Pelodiscus sinensis: one gene and its partners. The protein of the gene in region 3 purifies or fractionates together with the protein of the main gene of each other region. This does not show direct contact. Links are inferred from orthologs where the notes say so. Each region holds a gene or a part of one and is shown on either strand. Other genes may lie near its edges.

Region 1 (7,404 bases), on a different chromosome or scaffold from region 3:
TGCCCACCTGGTCTAGTGCGGAGATCGTGGACCTCATCCACGACCTCCGCACTAGGCACAGGAAAGTGGCCGTCTAGGGCAGGAGAACTGCCAGCCTGGCCACCCAGGAGCAGGTGTGCATGAAAATCAGGGTGGTCCAGTGAGACCCCCGACCCTGAGCTTACAATGGCCGTACTGGGACAGACCAAAGGTCCATCTAGCCCAGTAGCCTGTCTGTCGACAGCGACCAACACTAGGGACTCTGGAGGGGATGGACCGAAGACAATGACCAAGCCATTTGTCTCGTGCCATCCATCTCCAGCCTTCCAAAACAGAGGCCAGGGACACCATTTCTACCCCCTGGCTAATAGCACTCCATGGACCCAACCTCCATTACTTTATCTAACTTCTCTTTAAACTCTGTTCTAGTTCTAGCCTTCACAACCTCCTGCAGCAAGGAGTTCCACAGGTTGACTATTTGCTTTGTGAAGAAGAACTTTCTGTTATTAGTTTGAAGCCTGCTACCCATTCATTTCATTTGGTGTTCTCTAGTCCTTCTATTATGGGAACTAATGAAGAACTTTTCTTTATGCACCCTCTCCACACCACTCGTGCTTTTATAGACCTCTATCATATGCCCCCTCAGTCTCCCCTTTTCTAAACTGAAAAGTCCCAGTCTCTTTAGCCTCTCTTCATATGGGACCTGTTCCAAACCCCTAATCATTTAGGTTGCCCTCCCCTCTCCCAGCCTCTCTCTTCCCCTCTCCCACCTCCTTTTCCCAGTCTCCCCGAGTTTTGTTCAATAAAGAGAGTTTCTATTTTTGAATACATGTGTCCTTTATTTTGTACATCAGGAAGGGGGGCTAGGGAGGGGTAAGTGGAAGGAGGTGAGGGAGGTACGAGCCCCCAATGGGGAGGACTGGGGTGGCTCTGCAGGCTCCTCGGGGTGGAAGCTCTCCTGCAGCCCCCCCGGCTGACCCCTCCCCGGATGGCAACCTGCAGCAAGTGCAGCCGGGCTGATGGCCGAGTGCTGTGATGTGCCCAGTGTGGGCACTCAGGGCACTCCAAGCCAGGACTGCTTTGCAAGCGGGGAACCCCTGAGAACTGTCTGTCCGGGATGGAGGTCGGGTCCCTTTAAGCACAGCCCTTGGCTAGCCTGAGACAGCAGCTCCACGCTCTAAGTCAGTGGTCTCCAACATTTTTATACCCAAGATCACTTTTTAAATGACAGACCAAGCCAAGATCTACCGCCCCGTCCCTTCCTTGAAGCCCCGTTCTCTCTAGTCTCCTCCTCTCCATCACTTGCTATCCCCAATCCTTATACTGCTGCTTATTTTTTTTTATTATTATTACTATTCTAAAGGAAGAAGTTTTTCCAACATTTGGCCTGTCTACACTGGACCAAATGTCAGAAAAAAAACCCTTCTTTTGGAAGCCACCTTATTCCTTGGGGAAAGAGGAATATAGGGGTGACCAAAAGAGCCTGTTTGCTCTTCCACTAAAAAAGCGGAAGAACAAACGCAACCCTGGATGCAGAAGAGTTTTTCTGAGATATCTCCAGAATCCTGAAAAACTCCTGCAGTCTAGCCGGACCCCCGCTGGGTTGAGACAGGACGTGCAGTCTCTGCGGTGGGAATGAGGGATTTGGGTGTGGGAAGGGGTGAGAGGTACAAGCTCTGGGAGGAAATCTGGATGCAGGAGGAGGTGGAGAAGGGGACACTGGCTCGGGGAGGGGGCTCCAGGCTGGGCAGTGTTGGGATACTAAGCAAGCCACAGGCTTGTGGATGTGAATTTGGGTTGGGGTATGTGAGGGGCTGAGGGCATGAGGTTCCAGTGTTTGATAGGCTCAGATCTAGGGTCTGGGGAAGGGGGAGTGCAGGAGTGGTTGTGGCCAGATGGGGGTTTGGCCCCAATTGAGGGTTTGTTGGCCAGGCTTCATTTTTAAATAGAATACTATGTTAAACACAAAGGCTGTGTCTACACTGGGACACTTATTCCGGAAAATCAGCTGCTTTTCCGGAATAAGCTGCGAGTTGTCTACACTGGCCCTTGAATTTCCGGAAAAGCAACGACGCTCTACTGTACAAAATCAGCCGCTATTCTGGAAAAACTATTCTGCTCCTGCTCGGGCATAAGTCCTTATTCCGGAACACTGTTCTGGAAAAGGGCCAGTGTAGACAGCCCAGTAGTCTTTTCCAGAAAAAAGCCCCGATCGCAAAATGGCGATCGGGGCTCTTTTCCGGAAAAGCGCATCTACATTGGCCACAGACGCTTTTCCGGAAAAGGGGCTTTTCCGGAAAAGCAGCCTGCCAATGTAGACGCTCCTTTTCCGGAAAAACTGAAAACGGAATAGTATTCCGTCTTAAGCAGTTCCGGAAATTCATGCCAGTGTAGACACAGCCAAAAAGTTTCTGCATTGTCTTTATTTATGAGAATGGCAGGGAACCTGCCTTGAGTCAGGGGTCACTGACCCATAGAAAAGTCATTTGGGAGCAGGGGACACAGTACTGGGGAGGGGTGCTAGTGGGTTGTGGGACAGGGAACAGGGTGCCAGTGGGGGTAGGGGAGAGGGGGCAGGGTGCCAGGACAGGTTTCTGCAGCAGGGGACAGGGTGCTGGGGGGTCACTTCGCAGTACAGCTGTCTCCCATATTTGCTGCCCACCTACAGTCATTGCAGAATATAGTTATCCCTCCTATCAGACCCCTCCCTTTCCATGAAGCAAAATACAGGACTAGGTGGCACTTCAAAGACTAACAAGATGGTTTATTAGGCGATGAGCTTTCGTGGGCCAGACCCACTTCCTCAGATCGATATATGGAAGAAAACAGACACAACCATATATACCAAAGGATACAATTAAAAAAATGAACACACATGAAAAGGACAAATCACATTGCAGAACAGGAGGGGGATGGGGGGGGTGTGAGCTAATGGTGTTAGAGGTGATAACTGGGGAGGCTCGTTGTAATGGGTGAGATAATTAGCGTCTTTGTTGAGACCCCGGCGTAGTGTCACATTTTAGCATGAATGAGTCACGGGCTCTGAAAGCTGCACTTGGAGGGGATCCCCCGATCGTTTTAACTGTGCCCGTTGGTGTGTCCGTGACTGTTTGATCCGGGGAAGCGGGTCCGGCCACGGGAGCTCCTCCCCCAATGAACCATCCCGTGAGTCCGGCCCCGCCCCGCCCGGCTGCCCCAGGCCGCTCCCTGCCCGCGCTCCGGACACCGCCCCTCGCAGGGCTGTTCCCGGCCCGACCCGCGAGTCCGGCCCCCGCCCCCCGCGGCTCCCGCCAGGCCCGTCCCGCGGCAGCGACGAGCCTTTAGCGCCGCCCTCGCGGCCCGGCACCGGCCCCAGGCAGCGGCGAGCGCGGCGCTTCCCGCGGGCCCTGGGGCGCCCCGGGACGGGCCTGGCGCGGGAAGGCCAATCAGGCAGCGAGGGGGCGGGTCCGTGACCTGTCACTCCCGTGCGAGGCGCGCTCTGATTTGACGGTGGCTGGCGACGGGAGGGGGCGGAGGGGCTATATAAGGCCGGGCGGGGGAGGCGGCTGCCGCCATTTTGTCCAGTCAGGAGAAGCGGAGCGGGAGCCTGCTCGGGACCGAGTCGGCTGCGGCGTAGCGCGTGCTCCCTTCTCGCAGCCCCGTCCGCCCCGGGAATCGGTGAGGGCCGAGCCGGGGCTCAGGGCGGGGCCCGGCTGCGCGCGGGGAGGGGCGCCGGGCGGCCTCAGGCGCCGGACAAAGAGCCGCCGCCATTTTGTGCGGTGGGGCCCGGGCGCGGCCGCCCAGCCCGCAGGCGGCGGGGGCCCTGGGGGGCAGCGAGGCCCTGGCGATGGGGCGCGGCGAGGCCGGGCCCGGGGGGGGCGCGAGGTTCCCGCGCGGGGCGCGTCCCCCGGAGCCCCCGGCTCATGGCGGGCCCGCGCGCGCGGCGAGTGCCCGGGGGAGGGGCAGGCTGGTGGCTCGCGCCGGCCTAGGCCTGGGGGCGCCTCGTGCGGGGCGGGCCGCAGGGCAGCGCGCGCCGCGCTCCGAACAATGGCGCCCTCGGCGCGCGCGCGGCGCCCCCTGCAGGTCTTGGCTGCCACCGTCCCAGGCCCGCCGGGGAGACGCGGGGGGCGGGGCCGCGGGGCGGGGCGCGCGGGTTAACGCGCGAGCGAAGGGTCCGACTGTCGCTGCGACGCCCCTTACCTCTCGGGTCCGCGCGCCAGCGGGCTGCGGGCATCTGCGCCCCGGCCCTGGGTTTGCAGGTCTCTGGGGTCTCAGGACGCAGCAATGCCGCCTGACGGGGTGAGATGAGGAGAGACTTGCACATCCAGGCCTAGCATCTGCGCGTTTCAGTGCAGGCAGCAGCCTAACCGCCGAGGGAAATACTGCAGTTGTAGGCCGAGGGAATCTGCTTTTTAAACTTACTGGGCTTTCTTTCCTAGTGATGCATCGGGACTCTTGTCCACTGGACTGCAAGGTTTATGTAGGTAACCTTGGAAACAATGGCAACAAAACTGAATTGGAACGAGCTTTTGGCTACTATGGACCACTGCGCAGTGTGTGGGTTGCTAGAAATCCTCCTGGCTTTGCTTTTGTTGAATTTGAAGATCCCCGAGATGCTGCTGATGCAGTAAGAGAACTAGATGGAAGGTAAAATTTGTTAATTAGACTATGCACTTAATTTAATTACAATGATTAAGCAATTTGTATTCACACTTAAATTAACCAAGATCCAGTAATATCATGGCATTGAGATTAACTAGCCATTCAGTTGTTGAATTACTTGCCCACTAATTCAAATTTATAAACCAGAATAACTCTTAATTAAGGTTGCTAACTATGTAAATAGACTTTTTTGTGGTTAATCTCAATATTTGATATTCTTGGTAATTGAAGTCAAATTGAGACCCCTTTGCTGGGTGTAATGTAGGCTGGGATGATTTTTCTATCTATAGTGGCAGTGCCTTAGCAGTAGGTGCATTTACACCAGCAAAGTGTAGTTCTTTTGCTTCTGTACTTTTTCATTTGGGGGATCTGGTATAGGAAATGTTTTGTTGGGATAAGATGTCTCTACGTAAGTGGATTTGCTGGTATGCTGGCAAACACTTTCTAGGATAGACTTGGCCTGAGATTGAAAATTCCAAATACCTGGTAATACATCTAGAAGTACTTTGAGAGCCTCTAGAATTCAGAAGAGTTGGATTCCACCTGTACCTGGTATGTGGAGTATCAGAGATGGACAATAAGTCAACATTTCACAAGGAACTTTTAATTCTTGTGAAACAAAACATGAAATAGTAGTATTCATAAAACGTTTCAGAAGTGTATTTATTACTTCAGTGGAGCTAAGTTTAGTGTCTCTGAACACAGCTTTTTAATTTCGAAGTGGAAGAGATAAGGATAGCTGAATGTTAAATAGCTCTTTTAAAGTGATATTAAAATTTTGTTTTGACTACCAGCTAGATTTAAAGTATTAACCAGCTGAGCAATCTATCCTGATTTTGCTACAACCGAGTATGGGCTTTTCACTAAACTTATTCAACTGTGACTTCCATTAAATTATAGTTGTGATAAATGCTATAATTTCATTTTAGTCACATTTTCTAGTTACTCTCCTTGTAAAATAAATATTCTACATAGAGAGGAGATGCAGGATTTTTCACTCAAATGGTATTGGAGAAGCCAGAGTTCTAGGGTATACTGTAAAATTTATTTTAACCATTAGTCTTGACATAGGACAGCAATGCTGTTAAGGTATAAAGCTGCAGGTGTTCACTAAAATTGAGCTTTGAGTTTCCAGCTTTACATGAGAGAGAAAGCTACATAGTTAATGAAGTTAAATCTACAAAATTCATCCCCAGGAAACGCTTGGGTAGATTCTGTGCTTTCTTGGTGTTAAGTAACTAGACAGGAGAGGCTTGGGTCACTTTGAATCTGACTTCTTTATATTGTGTGCATTTGTTTAGATACATAGGTTCCTTCCATCTCCAACAAGTGTTTGTCTAACCTGCACTTAGTGGAATCTCCATCTGAGATTATCTCCCTAGCAATTTTTCAGTGCTATATGTACACAATGTTTTCTTTTCCAGTGCGTGCCAGTATGTCTTCAGAGCAGACCGATTTATTGCTTAGAGTATTAACTGTAACTTTTTTCCCAGAACTCTCTGCGGGTGCCGAGTCAGGGTGGAGCTGTCCAATGGTGAAAAACGGAGTCGTAACCGTGGTCCGCCGCCATCCTGGGGTAGGCGTCCTCGAGATGATTATCGCAGAAGAAGTCCTCCTCCTCGCCGCAGGTACCCTAGGTCAAAGACAGTGCATAGAGCTGTTGAATTGTTGTCATTTAGCACCATAGAAGCAGGCTTTCTTTAAAGCATGTTCATGGGTAACATCTTAAACATCCTGATCACAATTTGGAGATGCCAGACATTTTATATAAAATCAAGAGAACATAAATTGTATTGAACATTGGCTTTTGTCTGTAAGTCACTGTAAGTTGATAGCCAGCACCCTCTGCCTTGGACTTATCCTTTCTCTTCCTAAAATCTGCACATCTTGTAGTCGCTTTCTTCCCATACATCTACTTAGGTTGTTCCCTTTCTTTTACTCCATAATGACAAACATTACATTCAGCAACTTAACTTTTCCATGCAAATGCATTTCTCCCCTTTAACAATTCAAATATTTGCCTTGAAGGCAGCTGTTTAATTATGTTAAAACAAGTAACAGTTGCATTTAAATGTACAAATCTAATTTAACCCTAGTAAAGAGTTTAAAACCTCTTGTGACAGTATCTGTCATTTGAGTTTTGCAAACCCAAGCCTAAAATATAGCAGGGTTTTTTTGGTAACTACCTACTTTCTTGGATCTGGACTAACGTGTCTGAATGTGTTAGAACTCTGCACGTCTCAGCCTACAACATGGTTCATACAGGACTGAATTTAACTATTGCCAGGTGAGTGAAGTTCTCACAGGATAAGTTTGAAACCATGTCCCTTTTGCTAATAAAAAACCCACAATAGGAGTATGTTAGCTGCTAGATGGTTGTACTGATGGCTTGTTTTTCATTTTTTTATGCTTTTTGGTCCATCTATTAATAAAAATGAACCCGTTACAGAGTCACCATCATGTCTCTTCTCACCACCCTCTGAGTCTGCATTAGCCAGTCAACTAGCCCTTTCAGCGTCATGTGACCAGCGCGCCCCATTCTGCTTGGCTGGTGTCGTTTCACATGACCCAGGCATGGCCAGTCGTCAGGTTGCACCGCCCTTTGGTTCCCGAGCATGCTGTTTTCTCTCAGCCTTCTCTCCAACCTTAACCAAATCGGCAGCAGCCACCTCGACCGCCCACACATTCCCGGCCAATCAGCTCAGCTGTTTATTTACCAAATGTCTTCACAACAACTACAGCAGCAGCCTTCGGCTAACAAAAAAGCAGGAAAAATCCACAACA
Region 2 (7,632 bases), on a different chromosome or scaffold from region 3:
CTTCTGAGACTCCTCTCAGGCTTGGCTTGCTGGACTGAACCCGGAAATCCTAATGTGCAAAGGTCCCCACTTTATACATGTCAGTTCCAACTGGAGTCTGTGGGTTTTGCAGTGTCCTGCTGCAATTGTCCATACTTAAGAGGTGTCAATCTGTGTTTTCCAGAATTATACTTTGATGGTGATTGTCAAACTTCCCATCTTTGTCTCTCACTCGTGGGGATCTCTGCCTATCTCCACGATTCTCTCAATGCTGCTAATTCAATTCAGCCTCAGTCAGAATGGTGGTTTCCTGGGTATCTTCAAGATTTCCACTTCTTCTTGATCACCTGGGCATCTGTGATGACTGTCATGCTGACACACTTCCTCCATTCACACCAAACAATTGTGCGGAGTTTCAGACAAGATTAATAGTAACTAAAGGGACAGCAAAAAGAAAGGAATCTTCCACAACTTTTGTCATGCAGACAAGGAGTACAACTTAATTTGTAATGCTAACAGGACACAAGGCCTTACAGTAAACATCATCTAATCATGAGAAACTGGGTGAAATAGAAGCATACAGAACTTATAAGCAAGTCATTATACATCAAATCATTATGCATCATACTCATAGTTTTATAACCAGGGCTCGCTGAACCGCGGTGAGCCCCACTCGCCAGCTGCGCTGTCCGGCGATCTGCGCATGCACAGATCGTTCTATGCATGCGCAGATCGCCCAAACCCGGCTCTTCCCGGTTGCAATCTACTGCTTATAACCAATACTACAATATACATTTTTGCTATACTGTCATAGCGCACAAAACAGAAAGTACTTTAAAAGTCCTAGGTCATAGAAACCTGACGGTGTCATTTTAACACCTTTCTCCCTGGAAGATTAGAAATAGTGAGGTTATTAAAAAATCAAAAAGTCTGGTAGCACTTTAAAGACTAACAAAACATGTAGATGGTATCATGAGCTTTCGTGGGCACAGCCCACTTCTTCAGATGACTAGAGTGTTGGATGTCCAGAACCAAAAATAAATAAATAGAGAAGAAGGGAGCGGGACAGGGGGAGAGGAAAAAAATGGGAGGGGAGGAACAAAAAGAGGCAGTGAGTATAAAAATATCAAAGGGAAATCCGAGCTAGTATGTAACAGGCAAAACTGATAGTATATAAACACGTACCTAAAGACTGGATAGTTAAAAGAAGCAGATAAAAACCATTAGCTAACAATTAGAGAGGAAGAGTACTAACACCAGGTGAACTTACCTTTGAGACTTGAAGGACTCTAGTCCTGATTTTATATTTACACACAAGGGACTTCTCTTAATGACTGTGGGCTAAAAACACATCACTACTACCCCTCATTATTAAAAAAGACAGTGGCACAGCCGTGTGAAGGGATACTAGATAGCTCAAAGTCAAAACAAGCAAGTCCTTTTCCAGCTAAAGAATGGACTCAATAGAATCCTACATCTATAGACAGGCCAGCCCTTTGGAATCATAATGGCTTGATAAAACCGATCAAAGATTGTTTTAGCCTCAAACAGCTGAATTTGTTGCATCAGGAAATATATATATTTGTGATTTACAGACCTGGAAAACCATTCAACCAAATAGGAGAGAAGATCAAGAACTGCCCCAGCACAATACAAATGTCATTGGGCTAAGTCAAATGATTCTGGATGTCGACAGTTTAAACGGAAACCTACAGTGCATCCTGCTTCCTCACAGAAGCGTAGAAACTGAGGGTACGTCTAGACTACAGGCTTTTGTCGACAGAGGCTTTAACAGACACTGTCGACAAAGCCTCTGTCAACAAAGAGCATTTAGTCTACAGACAGTTCTGTCGACAAAGCAAGCCACTTTTTCGACAGAGTCCAAACGCTCTCTTTTGAAAAAGCACAGTGGGGATGCAACAGCACCTTTTGTCGACAGAACTCTGTCGACAAAAGGCGTTATTCCTCACAGAATGAGGTTTACCGCCGTCGACACAACTGCCGCGTTTTGTCAACTTACTGTCAACAGAACAAGTATAGTTTTGTTGACAAAAGTTCACTTTTGTCAACAAAACCCTGTAGTCTAGACACACCCTAAAGGTGAAAACAAACAAGCCATGTACGGGAAATAATAGCCCTTCCAACCACTCTAATTGCTTTTCTATGTTGGAGTAATGCATGATATTTCAAAGAGAAGGATGTTTCAAAGAGAGAGAAGGAGCAATTGGCCAAATTCCATCAACGCAAATATTTTATCAAAATCTGATGGACACTGGCAAACCTGGTCCATCTGTTTTCTTCTCCTACACTGGCAATGGGCAACTGAGGCTAGTGAGTGGGCCACATGAGTGGTCCTCCTTCATCTCAGTGGGCTCCAAGATTATCGTCACAAAGATGATCTCCCAAGATAGGGTAGTTTTGCTAACTGTGCTTGCATACCTAGAACTTGTACGGTGTGCCATTTGAACTGTAGCAGCAGTTAGGATGCAGAGGGAGCACACGGCTCTCCCAATGTTGTGGATAATAAGCACGCACCTCACTTCACATGCCCTTGCTTTATGTGCATTTCACTTTGGTAATACAGGTCGAACCTCTCAAATCTGGCAGGACTATGGATGCTACTGGACCAAAGAGCCCCCGAGGCCGGAGAGCGAGCCAGCCAGGAGTCCGCCAGCAGCTGGGGAGCCCCAGGTGAGCTGGCAGCAGATGGGCCAGTGGCGGCTGGCAAGCCCTGGCCCTGACAAGCCCCAGCCAGACTGACAGCAGTGGGGGTGGCAGCAGGGCAGAGAGCCCCATAGCCCAGAGGAGAGCCCAGGAGCAGGGTCGGCGCCAAGCAGGGGAGAGTTGACCTCCCTGGTCCAGAAAACTACCTGGTTCAGGATCGCTCAGGTCCCCAGGATGCTGGACCAGGGAGGTCCAACCTGTACCAGTAGAAAAAAAAAACCCTATGCGGATGGAAACCAGTGGGATCTGGCAACCCAGTGTATGGGCAAAGGTAAACAAAATGTCTCACAGGCCACCCCTAGAACCCTGATCGGCCAGAAGTTGCTCATCACTGTCTTACACTGAAACTACAAACATAGAGGTTAGATATAGAAGGAAACATATGTTCACTTTCCATAGCCATGAATACAAGTTTCAGGGTTGTGGGGAGGGAAGAGAAAAGGTTTAATGTGCTTGACATGCCTGTTTTGCCACAACTAACCTTAGAAAAATTCTGAATTTTGTGCTGGTAAAAATTGATGGGAACCCTAGAAATCAAAATCTTCTGTTTGTTTATCTCACCTACACCATAATTCTAATGTGCCTCAGTCTTACGTGGAAGGCCCTTTTTTAATGATGAGTAAAGATTTCAGTCTCCACAGTACATTTGATTATTAGCCTCCCCGTCCAGGCACAACTGTTAGCAATCAATCAATATAAATTAATAATAATAATAATAATACTTAACACTTCTCTATCACCTTCTGTCTGTCTCATGGTGTTTTAAAACATTAGTTAATACTCACACCTTTCTGTGATATGCATATTTCTATTCCTGGCAAAGGGAAACTGAGGCAGTGAGCTGGAAAATGAACCAAGTGTCCTACTTCCCACACTCTTGTTTAGCATCTACATCACACACGCTCTGATCTGGGAATGGAACCAGAGTCCTGGCCCCAAGTACCCCACTTTCACTACATCACAAATTGCACATGTGGCTTTTGAGATGTAAACAAGCATTCCCTAAAGATTGGCTTGAGACCCACCAAACTCATTTCAAATGGAGGCAACCATTGTGAATCCAGTGTTGGCCCGGAGTGACTGCGTAGCGACACAGAGACATGACATGCAGTCACTCTGGGCCCATGGTGGATTCAAAACAGTGACAGGAAGGTGAAAAGTCCCTTCCATGAACCAGAGGCAGCAGAGATTTCTGCTTGCTTTCTTCGCTGATAACACAGAACTTCCTCTCTCTTGGGGGAGAGAAGACAGCTATAGACCTTCCTCACCAACAGTGTGTGTGTGTGGGGGGGGGGGGGCGAGCTTGAGACCGGCACCCACCTACATGGAGGAAATTAAAGACCTCTCTCTCCCCACCAAGAGGGGAAGTTAGAGACTTTCACCTGTTTGTGTGGGAGACCTCCCACTCCCACCTATGGGGGAACTGGAGACCTCCCCCTCACTACTCATGGGGAGCAGTTAAGCGAGCGATCTCTCCCTCCCCCCCACCCCATGGGGTAGAGGCAGACTTCCCCTCCCCACATATGGGGGGCAGTGGTAGTCCTCCCCCTACCTCCCTGGGTGGCAGTGAAAGACCCCCCCCACACACACACACGTGTGCAATGGCAGATCTCCCCTCCCCTCCCCACCCCCACACCTGGGGGCCGTTGGAGACCTCCCTCCACTCCCCATGGGGGCAGTGCCCCCCCCATGTGGGGGCAGAGACCGCCCCTACCACTCCCTGTGGGGGGAGGGGGGGAGAGGACAACTGGCGGCCCCTCCCCTCACGGGAGCCTATGGTTACCTCCCACCTAGGACCCCGCCCCCGGGCCTTCCCTCCGCGCCCCCCCCCCCCCCCCCACCTGCCGCCGGGCATGCGTGCGTGCGTGCCTACGTCACGGCCCCACGCGTCCTGAGCGCGCGCCGCGTCCCCCCCCTCCTCCCTCCCCGTGCGTTCCGCGTCACCCCTGCTCCCTGGCCTGCCTGGCGCGCGGCGGTTCCCGGCCGGCCTGCTCCGCTCCCAGCGCCTCGGGCTTCGGCACCGCGGCGGACCCTCGCCCCCGCTTGATTCGGCTGCGTCCGGCCGCCCGGCCCGAAGAGGAGGGGCGGGGGGGGGAAGAGGGGCGGTTGCTTCGTTGGCGCCCGACGCGCCGCGCGGCCTGGTGCGCGCGGCCCATCCCGGCGCTCGCGTAGCGCGGTTGCCCGGCCGCCGTGAGGCGAGGCCCCGCCGGCCCCTCGCCGCCGCCATGAGCGTGGAGGCCTACGGCCCCAGCTCGCAGACGCTCACCTTCCTGGACACCGAGGAGGCCGAGCTGCTCGGCGCCGACACCCAGGGCTCCGAGTTCGAGTTCACCGACTTCACCCTCCCCAGCCAGACCCAGACCCCGCCCGGGCACGGCGGGCAGGGGCCGCCGGGGCAGGGGCCGCCCGGACAGATCGAGGCACAGGTGGGTCCGCGCTGGGGGGGGGGGGGATTCCCCTGAGGGAAGCCGCAGCAGCGCCCCGCGTGGGCAGGTGGCGTTCAGAGACCCCCCCCACACACACACTCAGCACGGGGGGGGGGGTTACTCTCTGCCTTCGCCTTAGCCCGGCACGTGCTGCCAGTGTAGGGGGGTGGGGGGCAGGGCTGGACCCGGTGCCCCTTCCTCTCTGAGAACACATGGCCGGGGGGGGGGGGGGCTGTAGAAGTGTCAGATTTCAGGGTTGCATCATGAGGAATGTGACTTCCTTCCGTGTTGTGGGTAGGAGCTGGCTTGAACCCCCCCCCCCCCCCCGTCTGCCTTTTGCTGCCTGTGGGGAACAGCACAATCCGCTGGCATGCCCCCCCCCCCCTTTCCAATTGGGCAACTTAGTTGTGATCAAATTCTGAAACACGTTGCATGGGGCTAATTCGTGTGGTGGTTTTTCCCTCTTCCTTGTTATCCATCTTTTCCCGTTGCATTGTGTGTGGTGGCTGGCACGTGTGTCCTATTCCTGTGAACCCCATTTGGGATTGAAGGTTGGAGACGATTAAAATGTAATAGACAATATTTTAAGGGAAATGTGGTAGCATTTGATATACCACTGAGCAATAGCCTTGTATAGTCCCTTCATATTAAAAAAGAAGGGAAACCAGGATTTTCTTGGAATAGTGAGTGTAAGAAAAGAGGAAGTTAAAAAAGAAGGGAAACCAGGATTCACTTGGAATAGTGAGTGTAAGAAAAGAGGAAGTTAAAAAAGAAGGGAAACCAGGATTTTCTTGGAATAGCGAGTGTAAGAAAAGAGGAAGTTAAGATGCATATACACGATGAAATATCATAAATGAAGGTAACCTGCATTTAAGCTTTATGACTCTGTGTGGCAGAAAATTTACATTGCTGTTTTTAAAGACATCTAAGCTTCATAGTTGCTATAATATTTAAAAAGATCACAGAATGTGTCAACTAGTCAACTGCATGGACAAGCAAATGCTGATATAATCCCAGTACCAACAATAGTTTGTAAACTATCTACTGATTAAAATGCAAATTAAAAGGTGAATTGAAGTGCTACTAAGTTTAAGATCCCAGTTCAAGAATATCGTGTGTGCTTTCATTTCTCCATTTACTTATGAAGACTTGTATTCAGAGTTCTGTCCTCTCCAAAAGTTGATAGCTGCATAAAGACAGAATCAGGGATGCAATTACCTGAGCTGTTCGTAATGTTGTCTATTGTAAGAGAGAGACAGACTCCTGAGCTCAAGTCTGGCAGTAGAAAGGATTCTTGGTTCATCTTCATTGGTCTCTTTACTTGGTGCACTCTGATATCAACCTCAGTAAAAACTAGGGATGTGAAAGGTTAACCAATAAGCATCCCACTTGATGCTTAGCAGTTCTGGTTAACTAGTGGGGAGTGGAGCAGCTCACTGCCCCTCCCTCCCCCCAGCAGGGGCTGCTTAAGTGGGCTTGGGCCCATCGCAGGCAGAGGCTGTTCTGGCCACCCACCGCAGCCCCTGCCCATGATGAGCTCTGCTTGCAGTGGGGAGGCTGCTCCAGCGGGATTGGGCTAAAACGTGCCCCCCATCCTCTCTTTAATCAGTTACGTTCCTAGTGAAAACTCATGTTGCATATGCCTAGACAGAGGACTTATTTAAAATAGAAGCTTAACAAATAAGAGGGGAAACGTTGCCATCTGATCCACATGCTGGAGAGAGCCATACTAACAACATGTATAGACCTCCTGAAAGTCTTTGGCAATCTTAGCACCCTAAGACTCCTGTCTGTAGATTAATATCAAATACAATTTCCTTTAAATATGTGGTCTGAAAGGAAAACAAATATAGAAGTTAAAAACTATGTACAGTGTATTTAGAGCTTTTATAATAATAAAATCTATTGCTATCCTGTGGGAAAAAAATTGGTTTTATATCTCTATCAAACTGCTGAAACAATTTCTTTCAGAAACTTTTGCAAGTTGTCATATTCTTCTTGATACTCCTGTTGCCTCCTTGTTTCACAACCTGATTTTCTTTAGATGTTTAGATAATGTTCCTTTTGAACCGCAGTATAGCAAGAACTATAGATTTCCTTAGTTTTCCTAACCTTGTTACATAGCTGTCTAGTCTTGTACATTTTAGCAGACTCATCTTGGGTTTTGGGGAACATTTTGCTGCCTTAAAAAGCTACATAAATTTGTACTCTGCAAGAGAAGTAACTAAAAATAAAACTTTTTACAAGGCCTGACAGATGATCACCTTTAAGTATTATTTCCATACCATTAAATCCAGTTTAATCTTTTATTTTTAAATGTATGCACATTGTTTATTTGCTATGGATTAATGTTCAGATGTCTCAAATTCCTAGATGTTATGAGGAGAGAGTTAGATATGGTTCTTTTGCCTGCTCTTCTAACAAAGTGTAAGCAATTGATTCTTCTCTATATCAGAGCTTTTTTCCGCTAATGTACATTAAACCAGGAACTTAAGTGTTTGTC
Region 3 (6,976 bases):
ATGGGATTTGTCCTTTTCATATTTGTTCATTTTTTTTAATTGTATCCTTTGATATATATGGTTGTGACTATTTTCTTCCACTATTTGATCTGAGGAAGTGGGTCTGGCCCACGAAAGCTCATCATCTAATAAACCATCTTGTTAGTCTTTAAAGTGCTACATAGTCCTGTATTTTGTCACTGCCTTGAGGCACCGTTCCCTGAAAGTGAAGCACTTGGGTGGCTGCCCAGGAGAGATTAAAATGCCCCCCAGCCAATTAACAGCGTGCCCCCAGCTGGCAGCAGGTATTCCTACTGGTGGTGCACATCTGCACGTGCCTTGGTGCACAGAACAAAATGTATTCTGCACACAGAGGGAAAACAGAGGGAACAGCGTCTTGACGCCCTTTGTTTGGAGGAAGGGGACGAGTGAAGGAGCAGTCTGGGCGGCATTTCCTGAGTGGGTGCACAGGAAAAGGGACAATGACACATGGGTCAGCATTATACGTGCAGCAAAGAATGTTTGGTCTCGGTATCTGTGCACGTTGCACCTCTTGTTCAGGGGCATCAAGGCAGAACCCGGTCTCAGTTAGAACTAAAAGAGGATCAGAGAGGGGCTCCCTCGCCCCAGCAGGATCTCCAGGGAATCGAGAGGGGGGCGTGGCAGGGCTGTCCAGGTTCCAAGTACAAATCAAAGACTGTGGTTTCCATTTCTGTTTTCAGCAGCGTCTTACTCACTTTATTCTCCAAGTAGCCTCACAGGAATCTGATCATTCACAGAGAGAACGATTACTCAAGGTGTGTAAGGGTAGCACAATCCAGGCCTTAAGAAGCTCTACACTCACGCTAAAGAAAACCAAATTAGCTGCAGGAATAAAGGAAACTCGCCTAGTTCTGCAGCTTCAGCCCCAACAGACAAGTAGAAGTGCCTGCCTTTCACGCTAGATGTGACAAGAGGGTAGCCAGCTTACACAAGATATTCACAATCAGCTGTGTACACTTCTCTGTAAAAAGCGCTGGACACTACCCAGCACACAAGCCCTACGGTCTGAACCTGCAGTGGGCTCCACGTGTGTGTGGACTCCTAATGAAAAGAAACCAAATGGACACTGGCTGATGTGATTTGTTCCAATAAATCAAGTCTTGGCCCTACCAACTTTGAAAGCTCCAGAATTCTACTGGCCTGCAGTCCTTCATATGGACTGTTCTACACACAACCCCTCCCTTCCCTTGTTCTACAGAGGCAACAGCCACTCTGGAGTTTGAAGTGCGAAGGAGCCAACGTTGTGCCAATGGGAGCGGCTCAGCGATGAGGCTACAAAGAAAATCAGTGCAAAATAGTCCAGTTGAAGAAATAAAGGGGAAAAAATGAAGCTGACAAATGCAAGGCAATGTAGAGTCCCTCCACCTTAGTGAGGTGACCCTCTGGCAGCAAGTGCCGTCAGACATACCCCCCCCCCCCCCAACCGGCATCACACCCACAAGGTGGGCTCCATTGGGCCAAGTTCATTTGTGCACTTTGCTATGTACTAGAGCCACACGCTCCAACTCTCCAGAGTCCCATCTGCACTGGGAGAAGGGGCCCTGGATACCAGTTCTCAGCTATTACGGACTCTCTGTAAATTTACAGACGGTTGGCAACCCTGGTACTGGGTCCTGCTGTGAGGGCGGGGACTGGACTGGATGAGTGTCCGTGATTCTATGTGACACATGACTTCAGTCAGTGTTAGAAATGGCTTAGGAGGGGCCAGATGGGACAAAATCATTCTCAGCGCAGTTACCAAAAGACTTGGACAGTTAAGCCACTTTTATTTCTGACTGGGGGGCACCTGCTGCTTATTTCATGTATCAGCGTCCTAGTGTAGATGGGTGCAGCACACCTTGCGGAACAGTGTTGGAACTGGAACACAAGCCACCTTTGGCCTTGCAGACAGTTCACAAATGACTGGAACGGACAAGCAGTCTCAGCTCTGGATCATTTCCTTTCACCCCCCGCTCATTACAGCTTGGCACTGCCAGGCAGGTCCTGGCTATCTGAGCACCCTTCGGCTGCGGCAAGGCCTAGGGAGAAAGGCAGAAGCAGCAGCATCGCAGCTCCGGAAGGAATGCGAGGGACCAGCAGAGAGCTAGACACAAACGAGCCAAGCAACTGTACTAAGCATGGCCAGACCTAGACACTATCACAGGCCCAGCGATGTTCCACAGACGCACAACCCACCCCAGAGAAACCCAGTTATCACGGGGAGAAAACCCAGCACCTCCCCTGGGGCGGCCGGCGCGGGCCCAGCACCCCGCACCCCCCCCCGCCCCCGGGGCGGCCGGCGCAGGCCCAGCACCCCGCACCTCCCCCCCGCCCCTGGGGCGGCCGGCGCAGGCCCAGCACCCCGCACCCCCCCACCCCCCGGGGCGGCCGGCGCAGGCCCAGCACCCCGCACCCCCCGGGGCGGGCCCAGCACCCCGCACCCCCCCACCCCCCGGGGCCGCCGGCGCGGGCCCAGCCCCCCGCAGCCCCCCAGCCCCCGGGGCGGGCCCAGCACCCCCCGCACCCCCCGGGGCAGGCCCAGCACCCCGCACCCCCCCACCCCCCGGGGCGGGCCCAGCACCCCGCACCCCCCCAGCCACCGGGGCCGCCGGCGCCGGCCCAGCCCCCCGCAGCCCCCCAGCCCCCGGGGCGGGTCCAGCAACCCCCGCACCCCCCCACCCCCCGGGGCGGCCGGCGCGGGCCCAGCACCCCCCCCCAGCCCCCGGGGCGGGCCCAGCACCCCGCACCCCCCCCAGCCCCCGGGGCGGGCCCAGCACCTCCCCCGGGGCGGCCGGCGCGGGCCCAGCACCCCGCACCCCCCCGGGGCGGGCCCAGCCCCCCACACCCCCCCCACCCCCCGGGGCGGCCGGCGCGGGCCCAGCACCCCCCCCACCCCCCGGGGCGGCCCAGCGCCCCGCACCCCCCGGGCCGGCCGGCGCGGGCCCAGCACCCCCCCCAACCCCCGGGGCGGGCCCAGCCCCCCGCACCCCCCCACCCCCCGGGGCGGGCCCAGCCCCCCGCACCCCCCCACCCCCCGGGGCCGGCCCAGCACCCCGCACCCCCCCAGCCCCCGGGGCCGGCCCAGCACCCCCCCCAGCCCCCGGGGCCGGCCCAGCACCCCCCCCCAGCCCCCGGGGCCGGCCCAGCACCCCGCACCCCCCGGGGCCGGCCCAGCACCCCGCACCCCCCGGGGCCGGCCCAGCACCCCGCACCCCCCGGGGCCGGCCCAGCACCCCCCGGGCCGGCCCAGCACCCCGCACCCCCCCACCCCCCGGGGCCGGCCCAGCACCCCGCACCCCCCCACCCCCCGGGCCGGCCCAGCCCCCCGCACCCCCCGGGCCGGCCCAGCACCCCCCCCAGCCCCCGGGGCCGGCCCAGCACCCCGCACCCCCCGGGGCCGGCCCAGCACCCCGCACCCCCCCAGCCCCCGGGGCCGGCCCAGCACCCCGCACCCCCCGGGCCGGCCCAGCACCCCGCACCCCCCCCACCCCCCGGGCCGGCCCAGCACCCCGCACCCCCCGGGGCCGGCCCAGCCCCCCGCACCCCGCGCAGGAAGCTGGAGGTGGAGCGGCCCCCCCGTGCCGGTGTCACACACCCGGGACAGACCTCAGCCGCGCGTGCCGGGCCCGTCCGCCTCAGCGCCCCTCCCCGTGGCGCCGGGACTCGCCTCCTGCCGGGCCCGCTCTGCTGCCTTTGTGCGCCCGGCCGGCCCCGAGCAGCCTGGGGGGGCGGGGCGGGGGGCGTAGCCCCTGGGGCCGCAGCGGGACCCGCCCCCCATGTGAATTGACGGGGCCAGGCCCCCCCGGGAGCGCTGGTGGTGACACGTGGGCACACGCCCCGCCCCTTGCCCCGCCCCGCGGCGGCCTCTGCTCTCCGCGCCCCGCCCCCGGCTCGTCCTAGGGCGGGAGGAGGAGCCAGCGCCTGGGGGCGGGGCCAGCTCCGCAGCGAGGCTCGCCTTCCCCGTCACGCGGCGCAGGCGCGCGGCAGAGGCTGGGCGCGAGGCGGAGCGGCCATGTCGGGCGCGGCGGGCGCGGCCCGCAAGCGGCTGCTGAAGGAGGAGGACATGACCAAGGTGGAGTTCGAGACGAGCGAGGAGGTGGACGTGACCCCCACCTTCGACACCATGGGGCTGCGCGAGGACCTGCTGCGCGGCATCTACGCCTACGGTGCGCGCCGGCCTCGCGGGAGGGGGAGGGGCCGGGCCTCGCGCGGGCTCCCCTCGCCGCGGCCGTTGCCCCGCGGGCCGCGCCTGCGCAGCGCTTCGCTCGCCGCGCGCCGAGCAGCCCTCGGGCCGGGGGGGAGGGGCGGTGGTTATTGGCCGGTTTTGAACTGGCCCTGGGCTGCCCCGGAAGGGGCGGGGCCTCAGGCGGAAGGGGCGGGGGCCAGGACACTTCTGTGCTCCCCTGATTGGCCTGGGGGTGCGTGAGCTGCCTCCCCCCCCCAACTGCCGGCTGTTCTGAAGGGCGGGGGGGAGGAGACTTGGCGCTGCCCCCAGGGGAGGGAGAGCAGGAAGGGCCTGGCTCCCCCCCCGCCCTGCACGGGGCACCCGGGACTAAGTGCGGAGCCCTCACTGGCCTGGGGCGCCCGCAGTCTCCCCCCGCCCCCCCCGCCCCTCAGGGCGTGCTCCCTCTGCCCCCAAGCCCTCACTGGCCTGGGGCGCCCGCAGTCTCCCCCCGCCCCCCCCCCACCACTCAGGGCGTGCTCCCTCTGCCCCCAAGCCCTCACTGGCCTGGGGCGCCCGCAGTCTCCCCCCGCCCCCCCCCCACCACTCAGGGCGTGCTCCCTCTGCCCCCAAGCCCTCACTGGCCTGGGGCGCCCGCAGTCTCCCCCCGCCCCCCCCCCACCACTCAGGGCGTGCTCCCTCTGCCCCCAAGCCCTCACTGGCCTGGGGCGCCCGCAGTCTCCCCCCGCCCCCCCCGCCCCTCAGGGCGTGCTCCCTCTGCCCCCAAGCCCTCACTGGCCTGGGGCGCCCGCAGTCTCCCCCCGCCCCCCCCCACCACTCAGGGCGTGCTCCCTCTGCCCCCAAGCCCTCATTGGCCTGGGGCGCCCGCAGTCTCCCCCCGCCCCCCCCGCCCCTCAGGGCGTGCTCCCTCTGCCCCCAAGCCCTCATTGGCCTGGGGCGCCCGCAGTCTCCCCCCGCCCCCCCCCCACCACTCAGGGCGTGCTCCCTCTGCCCCCAAGCCCTCACTGGCCTGGGGCGCCCGCAGTCTCCCCCCGCCCCCCCCGCCCCTCAGGGCGTGCTCCCTCTGCCCCCAAGCCCTCACTGGCCTGGGGCGCCCGCAGTCTCCCCCCGCCCCCCCCGCCCCTCAGGGCGTGCTCCCTCTGCCCCCAAGCCCTCACTGGCCTGGGGCGCCCGCAGTCTCCCCCCGCCCCCCCCGCCCCTCAGGGCGTGCTCCCTCTGCCTCCAAGCCCTCACTGGCCTGGGGCGCCCGCAGTCTCCCCCCGCCCCCCCCCACCACTCAGGGCGTGCTCCCTCTGCCCCCAAGCCCTCACTGGCCTGGGGCGCCCGCAGTCTCCCCCCGCCCCCCCCCCACCACTCAGGGCGTGCTCCCTCTGCCCCCAAGCCCTCACTGGCCTGGGGCGCCCGCAGTCTCCCCCCGCCCCCCCCCCACCACTCAGGGCGTGCTCCCTCTGCCCCCAAGCCCTCACTGGCCTGGGGCGCCCGCAGTCTCCCCCCGCCCCCCCCCACCACTCAGGGCGTGCTCCCTCTGCCCCCAAGCCCTCACTGGCCTGGGGCGCCCGCAGTCTCCCCCCGCCCCCCCCCACCACTCAGGGCGTGCTCCCTCTGCCCCCAAGCCCTCACTGGCCTGGGGCGCCCGCAGTCTCCCCCCGCCCCCCCCCACCACTCAGGGCGTGCTCCCTCTGCCCCCAAGCCCTCACTGGCCTGGGGCGCCCGCAGTCTCCCCCCGCCCCCCCCCACCACTCAGGGCGTGCTCCCTCTGCCCCCAAGCCCTCACTGGCCTGGGGCGCCCGCAGTCTCCCCCCGCCCCCCCCCGCCCCTCAGGGCGTGCTCCCTCTGCCCCCAAGCCCTCACTGGCCTGGGGCGCCCGCAGTCTCCCCCCGCCCCCCCCCACCACTCAGGGCGTGCTCCCTCTGCCCCCAAGCCCTCATTGGCCTGGGGCGCCCGCAGTCTCCCCCCGCCCCCCCCGCCCCTCAGGGCGTGCTCCCTCTGCCCCCAAGCCCTCATTGGCCTGGGGCGCCCGCAGTCTCCCCCCGCCCCCCCCCCACCACTCAGGGCGTGCTCCCTCTGCCCCCAAGCCCTCACTGGCCTGGGGCGCCCGCAGTCTCCCCCCGCCCCCCCCGCCCCTCAGGGCGTGCTCCCTCTGCCCCCAAGCCCTCACTGGCCTGGGGCGCCCGCAGTCTCCCCCCGCCCCCCCCCGCCCCTCAGGGCGTGCTCCCTCTGCCCCCAAGCCCTCACTGGCCTGGGGCGCCCGCAGTCTCCCCCCGCCCCCCCCGCCCCTCAGGGCGTGCTCCCTCTGCCTCCAAGCCCTCACTGGCCTGGGGCGCCCGCAGTCTCCCCCCGCCCCCCCCCACCACTCAGGGCGTGCTCCCTCTGCCCCCAAGCCCTCACTGGCCTGGGGCGCCCGCAGTCTCCCCCCGCCCCCCCCCACCACTCAGGGCGTGCTCCCTCTGCCCCCAAGCCCTCACTGGCCTGGGGCGCCCGCAGTCTCCCCCCGCCCCCCCCCCACCACTCAGGGCGTGCTCCCTCTGCCCCCAAGCCCTCACTGGCCTGGGGCGCCCGCAGTCTCCCCCCGCCCCCCCCCGCCCCTCAGGGCGTGCTCCCTCTGCCCCCAAGCCCTCACTGGCCTGGGGCGCCCGCAGTCTCCCCCCGCCCCCCCCCCCCGCCCCTCAGGGCGTGCTCCCTCTGCCCCCAAGCCCTCACTGGCCTGGGGCGCCCGCAGTCTCCCCCCGCCCCCCCCCACCACTCAGGGCGTGCTCCCTCTGCCCCCAAGCCCTCACTGGCCTGGGGCGCCCG
Region 4 (7,203 bases), on a different chromosome or scaffold from region 3:
AGGGACTTAACAAGTCTTTGAACTTTCTCACCCATTACCAAGACAGTTTCCCCAATTATCACCTGTAATACCATTAACTCACAAACATCCCACTCTCCCTACCTTTAATATCAGCAATTCACAGACACTTACCTTCCTTCCTCCCCCTTCCCACCCCCCCGCATCCCCCTTCTGTTCTGCAATGTGATTTGTCCTTTTCATATTTGTTCATTTTTTTAAATTCTATCCTTTGGTGTATATATGGTTGTGACTACTTTCTTCCACTATTTGATCTGAGGAAGTGGGTCTGGCCCACGAAAGCTCATCATCTAATAAACCATCTTGTTAGTCTTTAAAGTGCTATATTGTCCTGCATTTTGCTTCAACTACCCCAGACTAACACGGCTACATTTCTATCACTACTCATGATTTCAAAAATCCTGACCTGTTCATTGGAGAGGGTGACTGATCAGTGTGCTAAATAGTGCATAGCAGGCCATGGATTTTAGGGTGCCCTCTTCTCTCTCCCTTGCCAGGTAGGCAGATTGGAGTGCTACACTCTGTATCGGAGGAAGCATGCCTCATCTCACACCTCCTTCCTGGAAACACTTCACTTCAGGGACAATTTACAATTCACAACCTTTTTACACTAATTTTATGGACAAAATAACACTTATGGACTGCTCACCTTGATAGTGTTACTATTCATACTAATAAACTGGAACCACATACAACTGCCACAAGGAGGGAGAGAGAATGTGTGATATCTGCGCAACACCAAGAACATACATGTACTTGGGTCTCTAGCATCCTGTCACCTTGCTTCTCTTCCAGAGGTTTCTATTAGAGCACACTAGGAATTCAAGTCTTGCTCAGTCTGGGAGGTGTTCTGTACCAGGGGACATACACTTTCCACAGAGCTGGCTAGAAAGGGGAATTTCCATCCTGCAGAAAATACCAACATTCTGAAATTTGTTTGGGAACAAAAAGTCAAGTTTTTGAACCTTTTCACAGCATGGAAATTCCAAAAAAAGTTTGATTCAGAACATTTTGTTTTTATAATGTTGAAACATGTTAGACATATATTTAACGTAGAATATCAAAATGAATGAAATCCAGGAAATCAAAATGAAATATTGGTGCCTTATTGAAACAACATATTTGGACTTCACATCAAGCAATCCAAAATAATCTGACACTTGGCTATTGAAAATGTACCTGTTCCCTCAAAATGGTTTTAGACTAGTGGACCCCAACCTTTTGGGGCTCCCGGGTGCCAGGGGGTGGGGCCATTCATTGTGCCAGGCGCACAGGGGCGGGGCTGCATATGTGCCCGGGGATGGGGCCACCCATACGCCATGCGCCTGGGGTTGGAACAGCCCATGCGCTGCATGCCTGAGGCTGGCGCCGCTCCTGTGCCGCGCGCCCAGGAGCCGGTAGTGCCTATGCACCGCGCGCCTGGGGCCAGCGCTGTTCCTATGCTGCACGCCCAGGGGCGGGGATGCCCGTGTGCTGAGGGCCAGGGGCGGAGATGCCCGTGTGCTGAGGGCCCCGGGGCGGGGATGCCCGTGTGCTGAGGGCCCCGGGGCGGGGATGCCCGTGTGCTGAGGGCCCGGGGCGGGGATGCCCGTGTGCTGAGGGCCCCGGGGCGGGGATGCCCGTGTGCTGAGGGCCAGGGGCGGGGATGCCCGTGTGCTGAGGGCCCCGGGGCGGGGATGCCCGTGTGCTGAGGGCCCGGGGCGGGGATGCCCGTGTGCTGAGGGCCCCGGGGCGGGGATGCCCGTGTGCTGAGGGCCAGGGGCGGGGATGCCCGTGTGCTGAGGGCCCCGGGGCGGGGATGCCCGTGTGCTGAGGGCCCCGGGGCGGGGATGCCCGTGTGCTGAGGGCCCCGGGGCGGGGATGCCCGTGTGCTGAGGGGCAGGGGCGGGGATGCCCGTGTGCTGAGGGGCCAGGGGCGGGGATGCCCGTGCGCTGAGGGCCAGGGGCGGGGATGCCCGTGTGCTGAGGGCCCCGGGGCGGGGATGCCCGTGTGCTGAGGGCCCCGGGGCGGGGATGCCCGTGTGCTGAGGGCCCCGGGGCGGGGATGCCCGTGCGCTGAGGGCCAGGGGCGGGGATGCCCGTGCGCTGAGGGCCCGGGGCGGGGATGCCCGTGCGCTGAGGGCCCCGGGGCGGGGATGCCCGTGCGCTGAGGGCCCCGGGGCGGGGATGCCCGTGTGCTGAGGGCCAGGGGCGGGGATGCCCGTGAGCTGAGGGCCCGGGGCGGGGATGCCCGTGCGCTGAGGGCCCGGGGCGGGGATGCCCGTGTGCTGAGGGCCCGGGGCGGGGATGCCCGTGTGCTGAGGGCCCGGGGGGGGGATGCCCGTGTGCTGAGGGCCCCGGGGGGGGGATGCCCGTGTGCTGAGGGCCCCGGGGGGGGGATGCCCGTGTGCTGAGGGCCAGGGGCGGGGATGCCCATGTGCTGAGGGCCCGGGGGGGGGATGCCCGTGTGCTGAGGGCCCGGGGGGGGGATGCCCGTGCGCTGAGGGCCCCGGGGGGGGGATGCCCGTGTGCTGAGGGCCCGGGGGGGGGATGCCCGTGCGCTGAGGCCCCGGGGGGGGGATGCCCGTGTGCTGAGGGCCCCGGGGCGGGGATGCCCGTGAGCTGAGGGCCCGGGGGGGGGATGCCCGTGCGCTGAGGGCCCTGGGGGGGGGATGCCCGTGTGCTGAGGGCCAGGGGCGGGGATGCCCGTGTGCTGAGGGCCCGGGGGGGGGGATGCCCGTGTGCTGAGGGCCCGGGGGGGGGATGCCCGTGTGCTGAGGGCCCCGGGGCGGGGATGCCCGTGCGCTGAGGGCCCGGGGGGGGGATGCCCGTGCGCTGAGGGCCCGGGGCGGGGATGCCCGTGTGCTGAGGGCCCGGGGCGGGGATGCCCGTGTGCTGAGGGCCCGGGGGGGGGGATGCCCGTGTGCTGAGGGCCCGGGGCGGGGATGCCCGTGTGCTGAGGGCCCGGGGCGGGGATGCCCGTGTGCTGAGGGCCCGGGGCGGGGATGCCCGTGTGCTGAGGGCCCGGGGCGGGGATGCCCGTGTGCTGAGGGCCCGGGGCGGGGATGCCCGTGTGCTGAGGGCCCGGGGCGGGGATGCCCGTGTGCTGAGGGCCAGGGGCGGGGATGCCCGTGTGCTGAGGGCCCGGGGGGGGGGATGCCCGTGTGCTGAGGGCCCGGGGCGGGGATGCCCGTGTGCTGAGGGCCAGGGGCGGGGATGCCCGTGTGCTGAGGGGCCAGGGGCGGGGATGCCCGTGTGCTGAGGGCCCGGGGGGGGGATGCCCGTGTGCTGAGGGCCCGGGGGGGGGGATGCCCGTGTGCTGAGGGCCCGGGCGGGGATGCCCGTGCGCTGAGGGCCCGGGGCGGGGATGCCCGTGTGCTGAGGGCCCGGGGGGGGGATGCCCGTGTGCTGAGGGCCCGGGGGGGGGATGCCCGTGCGCTGAGGGCCCGGGGCGGGGATGCCCGTGTGCTGAGGGCCCGGGCGGGGATGCCCGTGTGCTGAGGGGCAGGGGGGGGGGATGCCCGTGTGCTGAGGGCCCGGGCGGGGATGCCCGTGTGCTGAGGGCCCGGGGCGGGGATGCCCGTGTGCTGAGGGCCCCGGGGCGGGGATGCCCGTGTGCTGAGGGCCCGGGGCGGGGATGCCCGTGCGCTGAGGGCCCCGGGGCGGGGATGCCCGTGTGCTGAGGGCCCCGGGGCGGGGATGCCCGTGTGCTGAGGGCCAGGGGCGGGGATGCCCGTGTGCTGAGGGCCCGGGGCGGGGATGCCCGTGTGCTGAGGGCCCGGGGGGGGGGGATGCCCGTGTGCTGAGGGCCCCGGGGCGGGGATGCCCGTGTGCTGAGGGCCAGGGGCGGGGATGCCCGTGTGCTGAGGGCCCGGGGCGGGGATGCCCGTGTGCTGAGGGCCCCGGGGCGGGGATGCCCGTGTGCTGAGGGCCCGGGCGGGGATGCCCGTGTGCTGAGGGCCCGGGGCGGGGATGCCCGTGTGCTGAGGGCCCGGTGCTCAGACTCGGGCCCACTGGCGGCCCCCGAGCGGGATCGGGCCCTCGCGCAGGCGCCCCAGCTCACCGCGGCTGTGGGAACTTTGCGACGCTCCCTGGCCCGCCCCGGAAGCGATCCCCGCGCTCGCTGGGGCGCGCCGCACGCTAGCGGGGGAGGGGGCGGGGCGCGCCGCTCCCGCCGCCCTTTGCCCCGGAAGCAGCTCGCGGCGGGCAGGAAGCCGGAGCGGAGGGGCCGGCCGGAGGGAAACGCTTCTCGGCGCCGCCGCGGCCTCTGCCCAGCGCCGCTCCCGCCCCGCCCCGCCCGGCAGCATGTCGCGGAGGCGCCACAGCGACGAGAACGATGGTGAGCGCGGGGCGGCGGGAGCTCTCCGCAAGGCGGCGGGGCCGCGCAGCGCGCTCCCGGCGGGCGAGGGGCGCGCGCCTCGGTCCCCATCCCCTGAGGCCGAGCGGCCGTTACGGGCCCCGCGCGCCGCCCGTCGCTTCCCGCCCCCGCCCTTGGCGCACAGGCCGCGCGTGCTGCTCCGGCTCCTCAGACAGCCCCCCCCGCCCGCGCCTGGGATGGGACAAGCCGCCGCGAGTCCGCACGAGCCTTCCCCTCGGTCCCTGCGCGGCTCGGTCACTCGTGTCTGGAGCCACGGCCTCAGCTGTGGGGGAGGGCCCGGGTTGGGGGGTGGGAAAAACCATTTCCCTGGGGGGGGGGAGCGCTGGGCTGGGTTCCCTAGGGAGGCAGTGGAGTCTCCATCCCTAGAGGTGTTTGTCTCGGCTTGACACAGCCCTGGCCGGGCTGATTTAGATGGGGTTGGTCCTGCCTAGAGCCGGGGGCTGGACTTGACCTTCTGAGGTCTCTGCCGGCTCTGGGGTTCTGTGATTCTATGTCTTCAGAGCCTCCTCGGGCTGGTTACGTGCCGGGGTCTGGGCACCGCATTTCAAGAAAGATGTGGAGAAATGGGAGAGGGTGCAGAGAAGAGCAACAAGAATGATGAAAGCTCTAGAGAACATGAGCTATGAGGGAAGGCTGAAAGAACTGGGCTTGTTTAGTTTGGAAAAGAGAAGATTGAGGGGGGACATGATAGCCGTTTTCAGGTGTCTAAAAGGGTGTCACAAGGAGGAGGGAGAAAACTTGTTCATCTTGGTCTCAGAGGATAGAACAAGCAGCAATGGGCTTAAACTGCAGCAAGGGAGGTTGAGGTTGGACATTAGGAAAAACTTCCTGCCTGTCAGGGTAGTTAAACACTGGAATAAATTGCCCAGGGAGGTTGTGGAATCCCCATCTCTGGAGATATGTAAGAGTAGGTTAGATAAATGTCTATCAGGGATGGTCTAGACAGTATTTGGTCTTGGCAGGGGACTGGACTCAATGACTTCTTGAGTTCCCTTCCAGTCCTAGTATTCTTTGATTATACCCCTTTAGTGCTGTATGCCTGCAGCCCAGACCAGCTCTGTGAAGACCTGGTGTTACCCTTCACTGACAAGGAACGCGCATTTAGGAAGGCTTTCCAAGCTGCAGGGGTTTGCTCCCACTTCTGTTCTACATGCAGCTACTAGGCAAACCTGTGAGATGCCTGGATTCAAGTACCAGATGAGTCAGCTGTATGCAGTGAAGAACAGGTAGAGCCATGCTACTATCACCAAGGTAGCCCAGTGCTTTGACATCAGCTGATATGTGAACAGCTTTCTGAAGCTGAACTCAGGCAAGACTTGAGAGCAGTCAAGTTGGGGAATTTGCAGTCCCAGGGCAGTCAGCTTTTGTTAAAAGTCCTCAACTGATCACGTCAGTCTGCAGATCAGCAATGCTCTTGGGTTCCTTGCTAGCACACCAATACTGATGTGATATAGCTGGACATAAAACCATCAATCTGCCTAATGCAGACCACTGCAACAAAGGCTACTGGGAGCACGCTGAATTGTTCTGAACTCTACATTGACTTTTTAGAGAGTATTACATCAAGGTCTCCATTTTTATCTTGAAGGTGCTTAATGATCTGTGCCCAACATGTCTAAAAGATCAGCTAAAATTCTGACATGAGGACTAGTCGACAGCTTCACTCCCTTAACACAATAGAATGTACTATCATAAGGGAAAGTTCATCTCTGCAGGTGGCAGGCTTTCTCAATGGCCAGTTCCAGGCTGGTCACCAAACTCCCTAGGGAACAAAGCACCAACACAAACTTCACCACCTTTGCATCAGCTTCAAGGGGCACTATTTCCACCTTGCCTTCTCCACCATCTGTACAGCAGGGTGCAGCTTTACTAAAACAAAGGATAATTCATGTACAGCTTTTCCTCTGGGAGATGGTGAAAAAATGAACCACATGTGATAGCTGTCAGTCATGTCACTTAGTGCCTTGGTGATGACAGTATGATAACATATATGTATATAAGAGATGCACCTTTGAGGGTATATATAGTTCATTTGATGCAATTCTAAGATAGAAAATCTACTCTTTTACGGCCAACATTTTCAGCTCTGACCTTCAAAGATAAATTCAGTCATTTAGAATTCAACTACATCTGCTCTTAAAAGGTCTTTATCGCTTGTTTGCCTAGTCTTTTTTCCAAAATACAAAATCTTTACAGGTTGAATCTCTCTAGTCCAGCACTCTTGGGACCTGACTGGTGCTGAACCAGAGAATTTGCTGAATCACAAGAGGTCAGTATTGTCTAGCAGAATTACCAACACTGCCACGGCTAACTAAAATCATGCCGGACTACGGATATTGCTGGACTAGAGAGATTCAACCTGTGAGTAAAAGGCTACCTGAACCTCCTTGCTCAGGCATTTTCTCATGTTATCTTTGGTGCCAGATAATCCCATGTGCTACTTCAGATGAGCTGTACCTAAGTACTACTAATTCTATAATGTGTGTGTAACTTGCATTATCAGTGGTACGCACGTAGTATCTTGCTACTTTAGCAGAAATGCACTTCCAAAAACATCTTTCAAATAAGAAAGTAAAAAGGATTTGATTAGCGGTGAACAAAATCCTAGAGAGTACAAGGCTACAGAAACTGAGTATGTTTTAATTACTCTTAGCTTTGTTTTTCATGTTTTGTTGGGTCTGTTTAAAATAAACACTTGAGTATCTTTTTGGTCCTTTTTATTATTGTACAGAACTGGCACATGGGCTGAGGCTGACAGAATTGTTCAAAAACATTTTTAAAGCTGTTGAGTTACTAACTGGCATTCTTGGTTTTATTACTGTATTGAA

What was found.
Region 1: the proteins of EIF4A3 (region 3) and SRSF3 purify together in Homo sapiens (affinity purification with mass spectrometry; 3 studies listed by BioGRID and IntAct, with this or other methods). This does not show direct contact. The link is inferred for Pelodiscus sinensis from reciprocal best matches to the Homo sapiens genes EIF4A3 and SRSF3.
Region 2: the proteins of EIF4A3 (region 3) and UPF1 purify together in Homo sapiens (co-immunoprecipitation; 8 studies listed by BioGRID and IntAct, with this or other methods). This does not show direct contact. The link is inferred for Pelodiscus sinensis from reciprocal best matches to the Homo sapiens genes EIF4A3 and UPF1.
Region 4: the proteins of EIF4A3 (region 3) and NCBP1 purify together in Homo sapiens (co-immunoprecipitation; 3 studies listed by BioGRID and IntAct, with this or other methods). This does not show direct contact. The link is inferred for Pelodiscus sinensis from reciprocal best matches to the Homo sapiens genes EIF4A3 and NCBP1.

Annotation. Positions count from the first base shown.
Region 1 is NC_134737.1:17,176,097-17,183,500, reverse strand, and holds the start of SRSF3 (serine/arginine-rich splicing factor 3), read left to right. Parts: upstream 1-4,399; coding exon 4,400-4,605; intron 4,606-6,113; coding exon 6,114-6,248; intron 6,249-7,404. UniProt on the Homo sapiens protein: Splicing factor, which binds the consensus motif 5'-C[ACU][AU]C[ACU][AC]C-3' within pre-mRNA and promotes specific exons inclusion during alternative splicing.
Region 2 is NC_134729.1:19,442,288-19,449,919, reverse strand, and holds the start of UPF1 (regulator of nonsense transcripts 1), read left to right. Parts: upstream 1-4,627; 5' UTR 4,628-4,928; coding exon 4,929-5,129; intron 5,130-5,151; exon of another isoform or gene 5,152-5,833; intron 5,834-5,892; exon of another isoform or gene 5,893-5,954; intron 5,955-7,632. UniProt on the Homo sapiens protein: RNA-dependent helicase required for nonsense-mediated decay (NMD) of aberrant mRNAs containing premature stop codons and modulates the expression level of normal mRNAs.
Region 3 is NC_134713.1:198,331,104-198,338,079, reverse strand, and holds the start of EIF4A3 (eukaryotic initiation factor 4A-III), read left to right. Parts: upstream 1-3,960; 5' UTR 3,961-4,012; coding exon 4,013-4,166; intron 4,167-6,976. UniProt on the Homo sapiens protein: ATP-dependent RNA helicase. Involved in pre-mRNA splicing as component of the spliceosome. Core component of the splicing-dependent multiprotein exon junction complex (EJC) deposited at splice junctions on mRNAs.
Region 4 is NC_134716.1:345,945-353,147, reverse strand, and holds the start of NCBP1 (nuclear cap-binding protein subunit 1), read left to right. Parts: upstream 1-4,302; coding exon 4,303-4,336; intron 4,337-7,203. Other genes in the region: TSTD2 (thiosulfate sulfurtransferase/rhodanese-like domain-containing protein 2), read right to left, coding at 4,061-4,304. UniProt on the Homo sapiens protein: Component of the cap-binding complex (CBC), which binds cotranscriptionally to the 5'-cap of pre-mRNAs and is involved in various processes such as pre-mRNA splicing, translation regulation, nonsense-mediated mRNA decay, RNA-mediated gene silencing (RNAi) by microRNAs (miRNAs) and mRNA export.